4 linked regions of the Rattus norvegicus genome follow. The protein of the gene in region 1 binds, or shares a complex with, the protein of each later gene. Links are inferred from orthologs where the notes say so. Each region holds a gene or a part of one and is shown in the gene's direction. Other genes may lie near its edges. The genes, in order: Surf1, Smim20, Cmc1 and Timm21.

The links.
Region 2: Surf1 (region 1) and Smim20 share a complex: the UniProt entries of both Homo sapiens proteins name them as parts of the MITRAC (mitochondrial translation regulation assembly intermediate of cytochrome c oxidase complex) complex. The link is inferred for Rattus norvegicus from reciprocal best matches to the Homo sapiens genes SURF1 and SMIM20.
Region 3: Surf1 (region 1) and Cmc1 share a complex: the UniProt entries of both Homo sapiens proteins name them as parts of the MITRAC (mitochondrial translation regulation assembly intermediate of cytochrome c oxidase complex) complex. The link is inferred for Rattus norvegicus from reciprocal best matches to the Homo sapiens genes SURF1 and CMC1.
Region 4: Surf1 (region 1) and Timm21 share a complex: the UniProt entries of both Homo sapiens proteins name them as parts of the MITRAC (mitochondrial translation regulation assembly intermediate of cytochrome c oxidase complex) complex. The link is inferred for Rattus norvegicus from reciprocal best matches to the Homo sapiens genes SURF1 and TIMM21.

The regions. Positions count from the first base shown.
Region 1 is NC_086021.1:30,639,869-30,644,014, reverse strand, and holds Surf1 (surfeit locus protein 1), read left to right. Parts: upstream 1-1,304; 5' UTR 1,305-1,320; coding exon 1,321-1,395; intron 1,396-1,592; coding exon 1,593-1,644; intron 1,645-1,857; coding exon of another isoform or gene 1,858-1,877; coding exon 1,878-2,011; intron 2,012-2,090; coding exon 2,091-2,173; intron 2,174-2,905; coding exon 2,906-3,094; intron 3,095-3,396; coding exon 3,397-3,469; intron 3,470-3,558; coding exon 3,559-3,721; intron 3,722-3,868; coding exon 3,869-3,950; intron 3,951-4,027; coding exon 4,028-4,097; 3' UTR 4,098-4,142; downstream 4,143-4,146. Other genes in the region: Surf2 (surfeit locus protein 2), read right to left, coding at 137-240, 828-982, 1,150-1,242. UniProt on the Homo sapiens protein: Component of the MITRAC (mitochondrial translation regulation assembly intermediate of cytochrome c oxidase complex) complex, that regulates cytochrome c oxidase assembly.
Region 2 is NC_086032.1:61,932,596-61,936,940, reverse strand, and holds the start of Smim20 (small integral membrane protein 20), read left to right. Parts: upstream 1-1,408; 5' UTR 1,409-1,504; coding exon 1,505-1,619; intron 1,620-4,345.
Region 3 is NC_086026.1:126,732,634-126,736,860, reverse strand, and holds the start of Cmc1 (COX assembly mitochondrial protein homolog), read left to right. Parts: upstream 1-1,297; 5' UTR 1,298-1,457; coding exon 1,458-1,476; intron 1,477-1,487; exon of another isoform or gene 1,488-1,636; intron 1,637-4,227. UniProt on the Homo sapiens protein: Component of the MITRAC (mitochondrial translation regulation assembly intermediate of cytochrome c oxidase complex) complex, that regulates cytochrome c oxidase assembly.
Region 4 is NC_086036.1:80,591,282-80,595,659, reverse strand, and holds the start of Timm21 (mitochondrial import inner membrane translocase subunit Tim21 precursor), read left to right. Parts: upstream 1-1,422; 5' UTR 1,423-1,635; coding exon 1,636-1,933; intron 1,934-3,541; coding exon 3,542-3,604; intron 3,605-3,692; coding exon 3,693-3,790; intron 3,791-4,378. Other genes in the region: Fbxo15 (F-box only protein 15), read right to left, coding at 784-953. UniProt on the Homo sapiens protein: Participates in the translocation of transit peptide-containing proteins across the mitochondrial inner membrane.

The DNA.
Region 1 (4,146 bases):
GGTCAGGAGCCACTGGCCTCACTGTGCAAGACTAAGCAAGTGTATCAAAGGATCAATCATGTGCAAGGCACCCTTCTAGCTTTTTGGGGGCAGGGGGCATGCATCCTAAGGCCTGAGCTTCTGGAGGGTGACTTACATTTTTGAAGTGCTCTCTGATACCTCCGGCCCCGAGTGTGCCTCAGCACATGTTCTGGGGACTTGTTGATGTGCCTCAGGGTGAGTTTGCAGAACAGTTGGTGCCTACAGGGTAAACAGGTTGGGTATGGAAGGGCAGTGCACACCAAAGACCCAGACTTGTGGGGTCCATCATGGCTCCATGCCGAAAACAGATAAAGGTCTGTTGGGGCTGCTCTGCTTTTAGTCTCAGTGTCTGGACTTTGAAAAGGGCATGGCTACCTAATCTCACGAATCAGGAGGCAGAGGCAGACTTTGAGATCAGCCTGGTCTACATAGTGAGTTCCAGGCCAACCAAGCAACACAGGCTTACCTTCAAAAACAACTTCTCAAACAGTTCCACTCAGTATGTGGGATTAAGGACCCAGATTATCACTCAAGGGGAAAAAAACCAAAAAAACCCTGCAGTTTCCACACTGCTCCATGGTGCATGCTTGAGGATCCAACAGCTCAGGGAGTTCTATGTGAGGATATATCAACCACACAACCCAATAGGATTCCCAAACAGTGAAACTGGCACTGCCCAGCCTGGCTTCAGGGAACTATATGCAAGGGCCACAAGCCCTAGTCTTCAAAGTGTCACAGTGGGAGGCCTCTGTGTGCAGCAGGGGGCACAGGCCCTGCACCTAGGCATTGGCCGGCCATCTACGTACCGATTCTTTGTGCTGGGCACAATGTGTGGCTCGAACGCTGTGTAATCGAAGGCAGAGAAGGCACTTGAGAGCCGCTGGTACTTCTTGCCGCTAGTGTAGACTTGGAGGTCCGGCAGACGGCAGGGAAGCTCATGACCGGTTAGCGAGCAGCGTACCTGTGGATGAACCGCTGGTCAGAAGGTGGATCTTGCCAGCTCCGCCCCTTCCCTGCACTGCCCTCTCCTTCCCCCTTCCTTTCCGGCCACGGTCCTCCGAGGTCCCAATCCTTCCAGGTCCCGTTCCTTCCTGGCCCTACTTTTCCCCGTCACGGTTCTCTTTCGACCTTGTGGGTGTTGGGCAGCAGTCTCAAGCTGGGGTGCTGACGCAGAAATGCAAGCACATCAGAAGGTGGTTCGTCCATGATCGGAGACGCCATCTGACGCCACAGCCACCACGTGAGGCGGAGCGCGGTCCCGGAAGGAAGCAGGTTTCTCCGCCCCGGAAGTGTTCAAAGATGGCTGCTGTAATGGCTTTGACTGTCCTGCGAAGTCGGATAACGCGATGGCCGCAGTGGGCCTGCGCGGGGCCGGTAAGCGGGGGTTCAGAGAGGATCCTGTCCAAGAAGAGGGACCGGGAGGGCCGGGCCTGGAGTGGAGTGGAGCCGAGGAGGACCCTGCCCAAGAAGACATAGCTCGAAGTTGAGCGGGGCTGGGTTGGACGATGTCAGGTGCTCGCGCTTGACAGGCGGGGTCTCTGGGTTTACCTCGGCCTGTCTGGTCCCCGCAGGCCCCGTTCTGCGCGGTCAGAAGGAGCGTCTTTGGGTTTTCTGTTCGCTCAGGTGAGAAGGGCTCAGACCTGGGCGCGGTTGGGAGTACCCGTCTTTTCAGCCCGTTGTGGTGTATACAATACTGAGTGTATTGCACCGGGAGAGGGTTGGGCACCGGTACTGTTAATTGCCCCCTTTGCCATACATTCTCTGGGGTATAACCGGTCCTCTCGAGGAATTGGCCACCCAGTTCTGTTTATTTTAGGACTTCTGACCCCATGCCAGTGTTGTAAAACTCCCTCCAGGGATGGTCTGTAGGCCACACAGGTGTTGCAGTTCTACTGCTGAAACAGCCGCCGCTAAAGCAGAGGACGACTCTTTTCTCCAGTGGTTCCTGCTTTTCATCCCTGCTACTGCTTTTGGTCTGGGGACTTGGCAGGTGAAGACTGGGGTCGAATTTGGGTGGCTCTGAGCCTTGGACCCCACTGATACCTGCTTAGCTCACGTTGTTTCTCTAGGTCCAGCGCCGGAAATGGAAGCTGAAACTGATTGCAGAATTAGAGTCGCGAGTCATGGCTGAGCCCATCCCTCTACCTGCAGAGTGAGTGTGGCTGCCCACGTTATCCATCCCACTTAAGGAGCAGCAATGGGGCCCTTGCTTCTGTTTGGTGTATATCTCTGTCCTATGACAGGAACCCCGTTTCCCGCTAGACTGCCTTTATGAAGTTGCCAAAGGCACAGGAAATAGAGGTTTATTTTCGGTGCCATATTTCCCTTTTCAGGTCACAAGGTATCCATAGCGGCGAGTTCGTTGTAGCACTGGTGGATGATAGTATGAAGGTGATGGTCTTTAAAACACGTCCTCTAAGATTGTACTGCCCCCCTCAAATCAAATTTGAAAGTTTTGCCCTTCAGGCTGGCTCTTAAGTCGAGTATAACTCACATTTTTGTTAGTGTATGTAAAGTAGCCACACTTCCCTTCTCTGGTTATCTATTTCCATTTGGCATCAAAGGTTGCTGACCATCTCTATGGAGGGCGAAACCTGTCTGATCCTTAACGAGCCTTTTTTTTTTTTTTTTAAAGATTTATTCATTTATTATATATAAGTAGCTGTCATCAGATACACCAGAAGAGGGCATCGGATCTTTTTACAGATGGTTGTGAGCCACCATGTGGTTGCTGGGAATTGAACTCAGGACCTCTGGAAGAGTAGTCGGGTGCTCTTAACCACTGAGCCATCTCTCCAGCCCTTAACGAGCCTTTCTTTCTGCTTAGGGATCTACTCTGACAAGCCTGGCTTTGCCCACAGCCCTTCCCCCTTTCTCCTTGTAGCCCAATGGAACTGAAAAATTTGGAGTACAGGCCAGTGAAGGTCAGGGGGCACTTTGACCACTCCAAGGAGTTGTACATAATGCCTCGGACCATGGTGGACCCTGTCCGAGAGGCACGTGATGCTGGCAGATTATCCTCAACTGAAAGTGGGGCCTATGTTGTTACTCCTTTCCATTGCTCTGACTTGGGGTGAGTAGTCCATGGCTAAGCCTGTCAGCTCCCCTTACTATGCTTAATCAACCCTAAGACCTTAGGGAACCCACGAGACCCAACTAACATTGCCTGATAATTTCTAAGGTCTCCCAACACTAAGCAACTTTCTCAGGCAGTTCATTGCTAGGGTTTAGACTCTGAGGCTTAGCAGTGAAGACTGACTCCATAGAATAAGAAAACCATTTGTTTGCCCAGTAGATAGATACTCAGTGAACATTAGTGACCATCTGTATTGGAACTCTTCCTCACCCAAAGGGACACTTTTATCATTGCTCCAGAGTCACCATCCTGGTCAATAGAGGGTTTGTTCCCAGGAAGAAAGTGAATCCGGAGACCAGGCAGCAAGGCCAGGTAAGGCCTATGGCGCTTCAGCTGTGGAGATGTATATAGGTCACCTTGTCTTCACAGGACTCTGTAAAAAGCAATTCTGCCTTTTGTAGGTTCTGGGAGAAGTAGACCTAGTAGGCATAGTGAGGCTGACAGAAAACAGGAAGCCCTTTGTTCCTGAGAACAACCCAGAGAGGAGTCTCTGGTATTACCGGGACCTGGACGCTATGGCCAAGAGAACAGGAACGGACCCCATCTTCATTGATGCAGACTTCAGTATGTTGTGAACTTTCTACCTCTCCTTTCATTCTGACATCTGGTATAGATTGGGGGGGTGGGAAGCAGGGGATAGCCTGACAGGCCCTGAAGAGGACCTCATTTGGGTGGGCGGGCTTGACAGGACTGACTGTATTGTCTCTACAGATAGCACAACACCCGGAGGGCCCATTGGAGGTCAAACCAGAGTAACCCTTCGGAATGAGCACATGCAGTACATCATTACCTGGTCAGTCCTGCAGCCTTGGTTACCCCCTCCACAAACATACTGAATAGGCTGACTAAATTAATCTCTCTCAACCACAGGTATGGACTTTGTGCAGCTACATCATACTTGTGGTTCCGAAAATTTGTGCGTCGGACACCAGGTGTGTGAAAATAATGAACCTGTTCCTAACCACTATAAAATATTTTGATTTATAAAA
Region 2 (4,345 bases), on another chromosome or scaffold:
AAGACCCTTCTTTTTTGTGCAATCTTCTCTTCTTACCTAACAAGTTCCTGAGGGGGCCTGAGGAGCAGTCATCTTACTGCACAGTCATTTGTCTTCCTCCCTGCACTTCCGTTGCCCTTGGGACTACATCAGTCATCGGCAACAGGCTGCATCCAGGATTAGTTATCTTTTCATGTATTTGTTCCGTGGTCGGATCCTGGAGAGCAGAGGTCATGTCTTATTCATCTTGTGTCCCCCTTTGCACTTTGCCTGCTGTTCGGGGGGCATAGTGAGATAGTCTATAAATCTGTTGACAGATTGAACGACTGATTTATATGCTGCTAGAGCCAGAGGTAGATGGAATCTTGATTCGACTACAAAACTACAGAGAAAAAGACCTGTGTTCACCACATCATTTCTGAGAGATTGCTGATCTTCTCTGGACTAAATAATGTTGCTGAGGTCAAGATAAATACCTTCTGTGAAGCCCAGCCTCGCTACTGCTGTCATTTCTATTTCTAAGGGATTGAGTGAAGGCCAGAGGAATGTTGGTCTTAGCTGCCCAGCTCCCTGAGGAGATCATATCTTCTGACGAAGGCTCTGTAAAAGGGAACAGGTGCAGAGGTGGGGGAAAGCGATCGTGGGACGAGGGAGCAGGTGTCAGTCTTCAGAGGCTCCGCCCCAGGCAAAGAGCCAGAGCCCTAGGGACCTGCCACTGACTCTGTGATGTTCCCAGGCTTTAATAGATTTTGTTTGCAGCCCTCTGTTAGTTTTGGGAATTCCTGTCTACTTTCTGGAACCCCTCATAACCCAGCACACATAACATGGAGAGCAGAGAGGATGAGGGATCAAAATTAGATCACTTTGGGTGCTCAAATACCCTCCTTAAAAGGCTGCTCTGGTTCAGAAGACACAGTGACTAATTTTGCAAATGCCTTGCAATCCATTCGAACCAGGAGATTTGTTCCTTTGTGACTCGTGCCCACAAACAACTTTCAAAGAGGGAGACCCAGTGACTTGCTCAGCCTTTCAGATGCTTCTAGCCTGTCACCAATCACAAATGTCACAATGTTAATGAAGGGGAAGGGTGAAAAAGTGTTGTTGGTAATAGACGAGTAAAACAGGAGGTGGTAATTGGAGCAGAGAAGGAAGGACGCAGACCCGAGGCGAGTAAGAGGTCAAAAGGGGGCTCGAGAAAGGAGTGTAGCCAAATTTGTGACTGCACGGGCCACCCAGTGTCTCGCCCTCCACGCAGTCAGCCTGAGGCGAGGAGGCGGGGCTCGGTTTGAGTCTCCGCCCCATGCCTCGCCCTTCCTAGAAGACCCCGCCCTCAGATGATCCCGCCCCACTGCGAGGAGTCTTTCAGCCCAGGCCCCGCCTCCGAGCCCAGAAACTCCGCCCTGCACCCAAATCCCGGAAGCGAGAGTTGCTCCGCCTCTTCCGAGCCGGGTCGCGACCTTGAGGCTGGGAGTCGGGTTTCGGAGCGTGCCGGGCCTTCGCCCGCCCTGCAGCCCCCTTTCTCACCATGGCCGCGGCCCGGAACCTGCGCACCGCGCTCATATTCGGAGGCTTCATCTCTATGGTCGGAGCCGCCTTCTACCCTATCTACTTCCGGCCCCTTCTGCGGCTGGAAGAATACCGTGAGTGACCTCTGACCCCGCGCAGTGGCTGCTCCCAGCGCTACCCCGAAGTCTTTAAGCCCCTACCCTAACTGTTCAAGGAGTACTGAGGAAGGAGGTGGACTTAGGAGTGAGGCTACCCAGGGTCCAGGCTCGCCCAGTGCAGCCCGGTGATCTCGGACAAGTGGCCCCACCTCCGACCTTCAATGTTAAGAGTCTAAATAATCAGTTGCAGGATCAGCCACAGAACTGGAGCATCTTAGGGGTCACAGAGGTGATGTGTATGAAAGCAGCCTGCACACAGCAGGTCAACACTAACACTAGTTCACACACAGTTACTATATACTGAATATTTAATGTGTCAGGTTAGTCATATATCGAATCATTGAATTTGCACAGCCTTCCCTTGAGGTAGGTACTACCCATTTTACAGATGGAGGTCACACAGCTAGTAAGTGGTGGGGGAAATGTTCCAACCCAGTCTTCTGCCTGCAGAGCCCTCCCCTCCATTCACCCAGGCTGAGATGGTACTTTAGTGGGAGCCTTGATCATCCTGAGTTGAAAGGTGTTTTTATGGTGCATCATTGCCGTCCCCTAAGATGTCTTGGAGCGGAAATATTTCAAAGCTAAACTGTTAACCTGGGTTTTGAGTTTTTCCTCAAATCGTTTTTTTAGATTCTGCTGGTTTCCTTCGTTTTAAGCTGGTTGCTCACATGACAATGGTGAATGCCGGGGGAGTCATTTTTTTCCTTAATCATTCAGGTCCTATCATTCTAAAAGCCAAACTCTCCTTCCTGGAGACCTATACCTCAGCAAGGATTAGCACTTTGATACATCTGAAGCCATCTGTCAGAGAGGAGAGATGAGGCATTAGAGGATCATTTTGTTCTCCAGGAACCTGAACCATCTTGAAGATGAAGAGGGCCAGCCCAGCCCCCTGGGGAATATTAGCCGGAGCTGAAGCTTGGCGGTTTGACGCTTCATGTAAATGCTCTGACCATCTCTAGTGCTGTAGCACTTGGGTTCCAGAGGCAAAGCAGTTTCAAGTACACACACGAATCCCCTGGCAGCAGCTTTTTACCAGCTCAGACTGAGACGGTCTCTGTGCTTCCTGCCTACAAGTCCTTCTGCATACCCCGTGTGTGGAAGGAACATGGGCTGTGTAGGGTCCTGCAGAATTCGTCTCCATCCTTTTCCCTTGCTGGGTCCATGCCCCGGGCTATTTTATTACAGCTTCTAGAGTTGGACTCGAGACAGAAAGATCTGCTGTGGGTTCCCTTCGAAAACTCCCAGTTCTGAAAACGGGTATGGTTCTTAGCCAGTGTGCTATCTATCTGGAGTTGGTTTTGCTTGTCACAGCTAAGGGACAGAAGGGGAGGTGAGTAGGTTATTAGTATCTACTAGATAGGATCCAGGATAAATTTTCCATGATGCACAGAAGTCACCTGTGAGGAAGCATCAAAGGGTGAGGGCTGCCCAGCTCTTAATCAGTGAGTCAAGAGGAGACATGGCTTCCAGGAATACTCCCCAGTCTTTGGCTGACCAAGTTGCTTTAGACGGGCAGGTCAGGCTCCAAGGCTGTCCATACCCGCTTACCTTTTAGCTTATTAAAATAATTCAGCCAACTTTAACCAAAAGTTGTAACTAAATCTTTCAAGAAAGTCATACTAAACAGCTAATTTTTATCTGAAGTTAATTTTTAACACCCTTCCAAGCACTTCAACTCTACCAAGCCATTTAGTGCTCATAATAACCCTTTGTGGTAGCTGTTAGCTGAATGACATATAGACAGGGTATTTCCTCACTCTGAACCTTGCCCCCCCCCCCAGCCCCCTAGGCTGTGGTGATGGTGTTTACTGAACTGAATTTACAGGCTTAGGGTGAATTAAGTAGAGCATTACTTGTAGAAGTCTCTAGTATAGTCTCATATGAGGAATTGTACAAAAAGCACTTTTAAAAGAGGGCTTTGGTGAGGGACGAGCTATAAGCAGTTGTGTGCCTAAGGCCAGCGACCCAGCCCTAAGCATGTCCAGCTGGCTCAACGTATGCTCAGGAACTGGGAGCCTGCTGTGCAGGTGAGCTTCTCAGCCCATTTCAATCCTCAGTATTTATAGTATTTCACTGCTTTCCTTTCATATACTCAGCCTGGATTTTAGCTGTCACTTGGGTCTGGTACAGTTTAGATGTGGGGCAGAGCTGGGCTGACCCCAGTCTCTTCCCCTGCCACCCTTCTCACTCCGTCCTGGCCATGTGCATCTTGTGTAGTGTTTTAGCCCAAGCATTCTCTGCCCCTTTACTCACTAACATCACTGTTTTATCTTTACTCACCAACTCTTCGTCTTTCCCATGCGCCCCTCGTGCTTTTCTTGTGTGCATTATTATTTTCTTTTTCTTAAAGCTGAAAAGAAATGTGTGCTGTTGAGAGGGTGGATGTATGGCAGCTTATGTGTGTCAATTTCGGAGGACAACTCTGGAGTCATTTCTCCCCTGTTTTAACATAGGCTGTGGGGGTTGGATTTAGGTCATTGGGCTTGCATGGTAAGTGCTTTACCGGCTGAGCTGTCTTGCTGGCCCCGGTTGAGGTCTTTCTGAAATACACCTGGTACTAGTTCTTTGGTGAGAATTTGTAATAGGAACCTGTTTTGGTTTGTTAGGAAATGTGGAGCCCTCTGGGTCGTTGGCACTGGTTCTGCCATTTGTCCTTCAAGGGCAGTCATCTGGCTTGCTTAATTAAAACCCTGCAGTTA
Region 3 (4,227 bases), on another chromosome or scaffold:
AAAGTTTATGAGGTGTGTTCTGTTTTGAGTGTATTCCTAGGAATGACCTTGGAAATGAAACCGAAGTCCAGAAATAAAACACTGGAACTTATTTTCACGCCGCAGGCGTGGCTACAGGATTCAAGAGAGCGTACACAGTTCTAACTGAAGCAGACCAAAAGCATCCCATTTATCAAGATATGTTTTGCCTATGTGGTTTGATTACTTGAGTGTTGGATGCCCGACTTCTGATTTTATAACTCATCTCATAGTCTCTAAATCTTCAGGTGTATTTGTTACACACAGCGAGTGGTCAGCTTGAGCATCTGCCTAATCCAACAACGGCAGCAACAAAACGTCGTTTTGGTCTTTCTAACTCATCCGCTTCCAGCAAAATAAAAAGGGGACCCATAGCAGCTTCTGTGTGTTTCTCAGCACATTTATAAAACATACAAGTAAAAGAACCGACTTCTGCCCGGCTGAGTGAAGGTTTAATTCTCCACCTTGGCACCTCAGCCTCTAGCTGTAATGAGAGCGTTATGTCCAAACAGGCCCTTAAACCGGAGCCCTGCTGAGCAGAGACGCACTTTCCCAGGCCTGTTCAACTGGGGTATCCTTTCTGCCAACTGACCAGGCAGACTCAGCAGCAGGGAAGAAGGGACTGCAGGTAGGTGGGAAGGGAATCATTTTGAAAGCCTTAAATCCCTCGTAGCGAAGAGGCAGCTGCTCCACGTTTTCCCAAACATCTGTCCCTGGCCCTACTCACCATTTGGAGGCTTGAGTTCATTAAATGGAGATCTGATAGACTCAGCCAGAACTGAAGGTCGGTCAGTGAGTGGAAACAGGCCTAAGGGCCGCCCTGAAAGTTACCTTCGGGCAACTGTTCCTTTCCCTTATGTCAGCAACAGATCACAGCTTTCAAGGAGAGTCAAGATCCATCACATCACCCAGACTGGACTGCCCAGGGTGTGTTCACAAAACACGTCTCCTGGACAGGACTCCTCCTGCAGGTGGCTTTCCTCCCGGGAACAACGCGTCAAGAATAAGGGCTTTATTTTTATTACTTTTCCTCTGGCACTCAAGACTGAGGCCGAAACCCGACAGGGACAGAAGGACATTCAGAACCTTTGAGATAAGAGGCCCAAGTCTCAAATCCCACGTGCTAAGTCAGGCAGCACACATTGAGGCAGCCTCTTGAAGGCGCATGCGTGGCCACGCCCCCTCCTGGGCATTCCGCGAGAAACCCGCCCACTCTACCGCAGGATTCCCGTAGAGGGCAGTCGGGCGCAGGCGTAGAACAAACCGAGGGTAGGAACAGGGGAAGGGGGTGTGGTCTGTTCTCACAGCGGAGGTCGCGCACCCGCTCTCCTGCGGGAAGCTGCGGGCGGGCGAGCGGCTGCGCGCGCAGTCCAGCTTAGGCTCCTCCCCGTCCCGGCTCCAGAGCCGGCGAGTGGCTTGCTGCTTCTCCGCCCTCCGAGATGGCGCTGGACCCCGCAGGTACTGGGGTCGGCGTGGTTGTGAGGGCCTAGGCGCCAGGGGTCAGGTGCTCCAAGGATGCGTGGCTTCCGCAGTTAGCACCTCATTCAGCCCGGCGGCTGGGTTTCCACTCTCGGTGACAGGCCGTCCATCTGCTGCTCGCTGGGGCTCTAGTTGCTCGGTGAGGGGCGTTGGATTCCTTGTGTCAACTTTCACTATCTCTTCAGTCTCTTCACCGCCTAGTTTTTGTTTTTGCTTTTTTTTCTTTCCTCCTTTGGGGCACAGGCTCCTTTTAAACAGTATCGGGTGTAGACAAAGTTGTCCCAGAAAACTGAAGTTTCACTCTGGTGCACAGTTTGACATTCTGTTTCCGGTAATTTTATGCCTTCTCCCAAGTTCATCCTGGTAGGTCAGTGTAACAAACGCTCCACGACTGACTGGCTAGAGGCATTTTCTTGGAAAGGCTCTCCAATACATCTTCCGTGTCGTTTTAATTTGCATGATTCCCATCACTTACGTTTGCAGTCGAGTTCAGGTCCTCAGGAAGTTTTTCAGAAAGCGCCCTCCCAGTATTTTACTTGATTTAAGTAACGGTGAAAAGGCAGAGACAGAAAGGTAATGAGTCTAGTCTTAATGGATAGGAAAACTCCAGGTATTGATAGGTTAGAGACTTTCAAACCTTTGAAGAATCTGAAGCGAAAGGTCACATGTAGCCCTCACATAGGATGGAAACTAGGTATAGCATTCGAATAACTTGTCATTTTATTATCAAGCCAATGTATTCAGTTGTCCCAGAATAGTACTTGCCTGGTTGGTTCTTTTATCTCCATTTTCAGAGTAGGAAGCAGGCTCAGAAAGGTTAAGCCGCTGCTTTTAGTCACCCCTCCTAGTTCTTTCCTAGCTGGCGCCTTTGTCCGTCAGCTTTGAATTAAAATGTCAGTTCCTTATAGAACTTAGCACCGTCTAAAGCAACCTTGGTTCATCTACTGCAGCACCCTGCTTACTTCGCACCTCACGTAATTGACCAGAGTCTGTAAGTGTATTAGTATAATCTGAAGCATAAAGCAGTTGCGGAACACCGCTCGGATCTTATCAATTTGAAGCAAAATATTTGGACTGAAGTTTGAAGCGGCATCGTTGAGCAGTGATCATGTGGTAAGACACAGAGTCTTACTTGATTTGAGGGTGACAAGTTTGATTGGAAGGTAGGAGGCAGTAATGAAGCATGGGTAAGGGAAGTTCAGGTAAAGTGCATATAATTTTGGTATTTCATGACCTTGAAAATGATACTCATACAGATAGGGATAGGGACACTCAGGTTAAAGCAGTGGTTCTCAGCCTTCCCAATGCAGAGACCCTTTAACAGTTCCTCATGTTGTGGTGACCCCCCCAACCATAGAATTATTTTCATTGCTACCTCACTTCATGACTATAATTTTGCTACTGTGAGGAATCGTGATGTAAATTTTTTTGGAGATAGAAGTTTGCCAAAAGGATGGTGATGCACAGGTTGGGAACCACTGAGCTAAAGGCCTGGATGGATCTTTATTTAGACAGATGAGAAAGTGTAAGAAACAAACAGTTCATACTTGCTCCTACGGGTTTCTAGTTCTCTTAACCCCGTCTGAATGTGCAGTGTGCTCAAGGCGTCATAGCTATTGTCTGATAAGACCAAGTTTTGTTACGAACCACTTGGTTCCTTTCTCAACCCAGACTGTCAACCATGCCTTTATTTTAGTACCTTTTGGTAAACTTGTTGGTGGCTCAGTGTTCTTGGTGTATATTGTTCTGTAACCTAGGAAACAGTAACATATAGGACAAACAAGGACCCCCACCTAAAGTAGCCTCTCCCTGTTTGTTCACAGACACTAAAAGACATGAAGTAGATTGTGAGGAGAGAGCTACTTTTGTTAAGAGCTTTTATGGAGAAACACCATTTGCTTTAAAATATCAAGAGAAGAAGCTACCATGAAAAGAGCTGGGAGCTGGGGCCATGGTGGGCATTCAATGTGGCAAATGCTTGAAAAAATATTGAACTGACAGGGCAGAGTGGCGAGAAGAACCATAAGGAAGAAGGTTGTCAAAGTGGGCTTGAGGTGAACACCTCGTTGGTTTAGGGACTTGAATTCTACTATAAAGCATCTTAATTCTTTTTTTTTTAAAGATTTATTTATTTATTATATATAAGTACACTGTAGCTGTCTTCAGACACATCAGAAGAAGGCATTAGATCCCATTACAGATGGTTGTGAGCCACCATGTGGTTGCTGGGAATTGAACTCAGGACCTCTGGAAGAGCAGTCAGTGCTCTCAACCACTGAGCTATCTCTCCAGCTCTAGCGTTTTAATTCTGTTTCCTTTCAGTTTTTCTCAAAGTCTGGACCCAAGAGTGAGATGTAGGCAGCATCTGTATTCTCATGTGACTTTTCTTTAAACTTTCCCTTTTACAGAGTTGATAACACACTCCCTGAAGGTTTATCTTTTTATTATTGTTATTATTATTATTATTATTATTATTATTATTATTATTATTATTACAGTTATACTTATTGTTTTCAACTGTGATAAGTGGAAGAGACTAGAGAAAGGACAAAGTACTAAGCAAAGTGGTAGTGAGAGGGATTGGATTTGTACTGGTGCCTGCCTGAGCTGCACTGCGCTCTTAGATCCTCTGACACTGAAGTACTTGTTAGACGGCTCAGACATATTGCTCTGTCTGTACGATCCCAGTTCTGCTGACTCATCTATCACTAACCGTGTGTGTGTGTGTGT
Region 4 (4,378 bases), on another chromosome or scaffold:
TTCCATTCTCTCGCTGTAAGAGAGGAACATACTTTGGCTTAAAGGCACTCCTTGAGAAAAATGAAAAAATAACCTTGAAGACAGAACGGTCATCTTGCAGGCTCTTCCTTACACGTAATGGGAATACAACGAACCAGAACAGAGTTGCATAACAAAATGTGACTGTCTAGAAAACTTGGCATGGTGGGAGAGGTGCACAAAATGTCCTGTTTAGCATTAGGTTTTGATGAATACTTTCTACTCCGAGTTTAAAAGCTCTACGGCTGATTCTCATTTTAAAATCACTAAAATGCAAGAATACTACATAAAAGCCTTGTTCCGGGCGAGCAGTAGGTCCGCTCCTGTCTTCACATGTGCACTACTGTAGTCTCCCAGGAACTGAAAATAGCCTTAGAGCCATAGGGCCTACCAATGAATGAATGGAATGCTTGGTAACATACATCACTTCCTTAGGAAGTAACTTTACTTGTGTTCTAACTTGAGGTACCCTAGTTTCCAGGATAGACAGGTTTCCCTCTGCCATTCTAATGTTTCCCGCGTTTAAAAGTAGCAGGAGTCACATGCTATAGTAGAACTGATACTAGAAAGAGCTGTGGGGTGGGATACTGAAGAGACCCACCCGTGAGCCCCGAGCGTCACCTGAACCCGGAGCGCCCCGCGGCCAGCCCCGCGCTGCCCCAGGTAGTGCCCCCACCATGAAGGGACCCTCGCAGAGCCTGGAGGCCGAAACTTCCAGGCCTCAGCATCCGACCGCGTCCGGTCGCCATGGAGACCCAAAGGTACCTTCTGGAGGAGCGACAGAGAAGCCCAGCACTGCCCCTCACGCGTGCGCAAAACCCGGACCGGGCTCGCGCATGCGTAGACTGGGTTTCTCTGTGAACACCTCCTTTGCTCTTCGAACGTCGTTGTTCGGGACAATCCCGGGCCCGGCTTCTTTCCCACGCCCCAGTCATTCTGACGCCGGTTCTTGGCCCATTAGCCTGTTATGGCCCGGCTCAGCTACGTTTGCTAACTGTCTTCCTGAGAAGAAACAAGCGCTGAAATTGTCACTTTCTAATAACTATGGCAAACCCACGACATGAACTTCCCAGTTGACACAGTCCTCTATAAAAAGACTATGAGGACACGCAATTTGCAACTAATCCGACTTTTGCAAGTTCTGTCTAAGCCAAGAGGCCATTGAACCAGGGATACCAATAACATGCCTGCCTCAACCGGGCCACAGCGCACGCGCAACGATCCGCGCAGAAGCGTCTGAGAAAACAGGATGGGCCCTTTCTTGTTGCATGGCATTATGGGAGATGTAGTCCATCCTGCCTGCCTTTCCTGCAGTTGAACAGGAAAGTGTGAAGCCATTAAACTGCGATTCCCGGGATGTCTGGTGTTTCCCGGGATGCTTTGCGAAAGCATGGCGGGCAAGATGTGAATGTCAGTAGGACGGTAAATAGGGCATTTTAATTCAAGAGAGAGAAAAAAAATAAAGTGTACCTAACTTCTCTTGTAGATTATTCATCTTGATATTCGCCTGACACAGGATGTAATGTGAATGGTTTGGTTTCACGTCTTGTCCGCCTGAGTGTGTGGATTACGAACCTTTAGAAGTTGCAGTTCGGAAGTCTCACAGTGTTTGTGAACATGATTTGTGCTTTTCTACGAGTTGTTCGGCATGCGGAGAAGCTGCACGGGTCGTTGGGCAGGCAGTTGTTGTTGCCACACTTTGTACTCACCAAAGCTTGCTTGAAAACCCAGCCTTTGAGATGGGGGCTGCGAGAGCAGAAGAAAACAGTGCAACCTAGAACTGTCCTTGGGTTCACCCAGAAAACCTTCTGGACACAAGGACCGGACCCCCGGAAAGCAAAGGAGGACAGTAGCAAGCAAGTGTCTATTAACAGGAATCAAAGAGAGGAAACCGGTGTCTCAACATCTCAGAAAGGTAAAAAGAAAAAAATAGTATCTAGGACTTAAGACTGTCAGCTCCTGTGCTCCCCACTTCTGGGAGTGTCTGCACTCCAGTATAGGACCTACTGAAAGAGAGGTGGAGAACTGCAGAAACACAAGGAATAGGAAATTATTAGGTCACGACAGAGTGTTGGGGAGAACAGGAGGTTGAGGCGTTTAGGCCAATGACCTGATTTGGGATTGCAGGAAAAAATATGGTTATGTCTTAGTCTAGTTGTTATTGTCCTCTCAATTTGGGGCCTCATGCGGTGTCTACTGATATGTAGTTTATGACATTATGGACAGTGGAATAGAAAGATTCGTGTTCCAGCCCTCAGCTCAGAGCCTGGTAAAGAGATAGGATTTGTGAAGCAATTACTGCTGAGATCAGTCCCATAATATCTACGATTTTTGGTAGATGACAATCTTTCTATTATTTGAAGTAGTGTTTTCTTTAAAGATTTGTTTATTATTGCTAGTGTTGCTGGTGTGTGTGTGTGTGTGTGTGTGTGTGTGTGTGTGTGTGTGTATACACATGAGTATAGGTAAAGAAGGAAGCCAGAAAAAGTCATCAGATGCCCCTAAGCTGAAGTTACTGGCAATTGTGAGCCACCAGATATGGTTGCTGGGAACTGAATTCTGGATGTCTACAAGAGCAGCAAATACTCTTAACCACTGAGCCATTTCTCCAGCCCCCTGAACACATTTCAAGTTCACAGCCTGTACTGAAAAACCAAAAGTATGTTCTAGAAATGACTTCTAAATAAGTAATTTTATTATATGTCATTGTACCTATGAAAAAAGTAGAGGGAAAAAAAATACCACTTGTTAAACTTTGATTTCTTGGAAAAAATAAAAATTTAAAGACTGAAGTTAGAAAAATCTGGGTTCCTCATGTGACTGTACATACATATAAATGACCAAAGAAGTAAAGCGCTCTCATAATCAGACTTTGCTTGTGATGTAGCTCTTCACATATAACATGCATTTATGTAAATAATGTGTCTGTACTCACTCCCCTTTGATTGATTACCTTATCTCCCCAAACTGCTCTTTAATCCATGTGTTCATATACTTACTTAGTGCAGAAAAAAATAAAAACAATCTCTGTAAGTTTATTTGATTCATCAATCTTCCCAACCAACTACATTTCAATTCCAAGCTCAGTTCTTTGGTTTTGTGCACCACTCAGTGGGGTCTCTGGGATGGGTTAAGAGTTGCCTTGATCTGGACAGGATAGACCTGTGTACACGTTGCCTCATCTTGTGACCATTCTCACTCTGAGAGATCGATAAGGGTTTTACGTTACTAGAACAGAAGCAGTATCTATCAGCGACAGAAATCCAGAGGTTCCTAGGCCCCGTGCATAGCCAGGCCACACTAAACAGGTCTGTTCTCTTCTGGCCTTGGGAGCTAAGCAGAACTAGGCCTGGTTTGCACTGGAGTGAGGGGTTCTTCTGAAGCTTGGGAGCATTTGAGATGAGCTACTGAGAGCAGTGCTCTAGGTCTGGACCCAACTGCTCCCTGCTAGGAACACCTGAAGCCTCCAGAGGCCACAGCTCTGTGGATACACGTGTAACTTATTGACGTTTTCTCTTTGCAGTGAAAGAAGCCGGGAGAGACGTCACCTACCTGATAGTGGTGCTCTTTGGAGTCAGCATTACAGGTTACAGACCCAGCAAGCACTTGAATACCTTTCCACAGCCTCTCACCCTACTGCTTCGCTTCACTGCGTTCTCCCTCTGCTTTTTCAGGCAGCTTGTTATATACGATCTTCAAAGAACTGTTTTCCTCATCCAGTCCTAACATCATCTATGGGAAAGCCTTAGGGAAATGCAGAACACACCCTGAGGTTAGTTTTCTGATGATCGTGTGGGGGAGGAGGAATGAATCCCTTGTGAAGCCCATGCCTCCACACTGTACTAAGGCAGTGGGTTGCTTTTCTGTTTTTAGGTCTCTGTTCTCTGAGGCACTTTGACCCTAGCACCCAAAGGTCACTGCGCACGCTCTCCTCCTCCCCGCTATGCCAGTGTCTCTGGCATCCTTTGTTTTGTGTCCTAAACCACAGAGTGTAGCTGAGAGAGTTAAAAGTTGACAGAGACTACATTTAGGGCACTCCACTGTAGTCAGTGGGCATCCAGGGAAGAGTGGTCTCCAGGAGGCACCCCAACTGTTTTAGTAATCCCAGGCTCAGTCTCTCGGGCATGTTCAGATTAACACAAGTAGAACCGTACAGGATACATGAAAGAATGAAGTATTATTAGGATCGTAGCTTCCTAGCTGGTCCTTAGACTTCAACAGGTCGTATGTTTAAGGTCCCACTTTTTGCCAGGCCATATGCCTGCCTTACCATTAATAATTTTAATCTAACACTGCTAGGCTTGACCTATTAATTCTTTGGATATTTATTCCCTTTCTTAGATCTTAGGTATCTGACAAC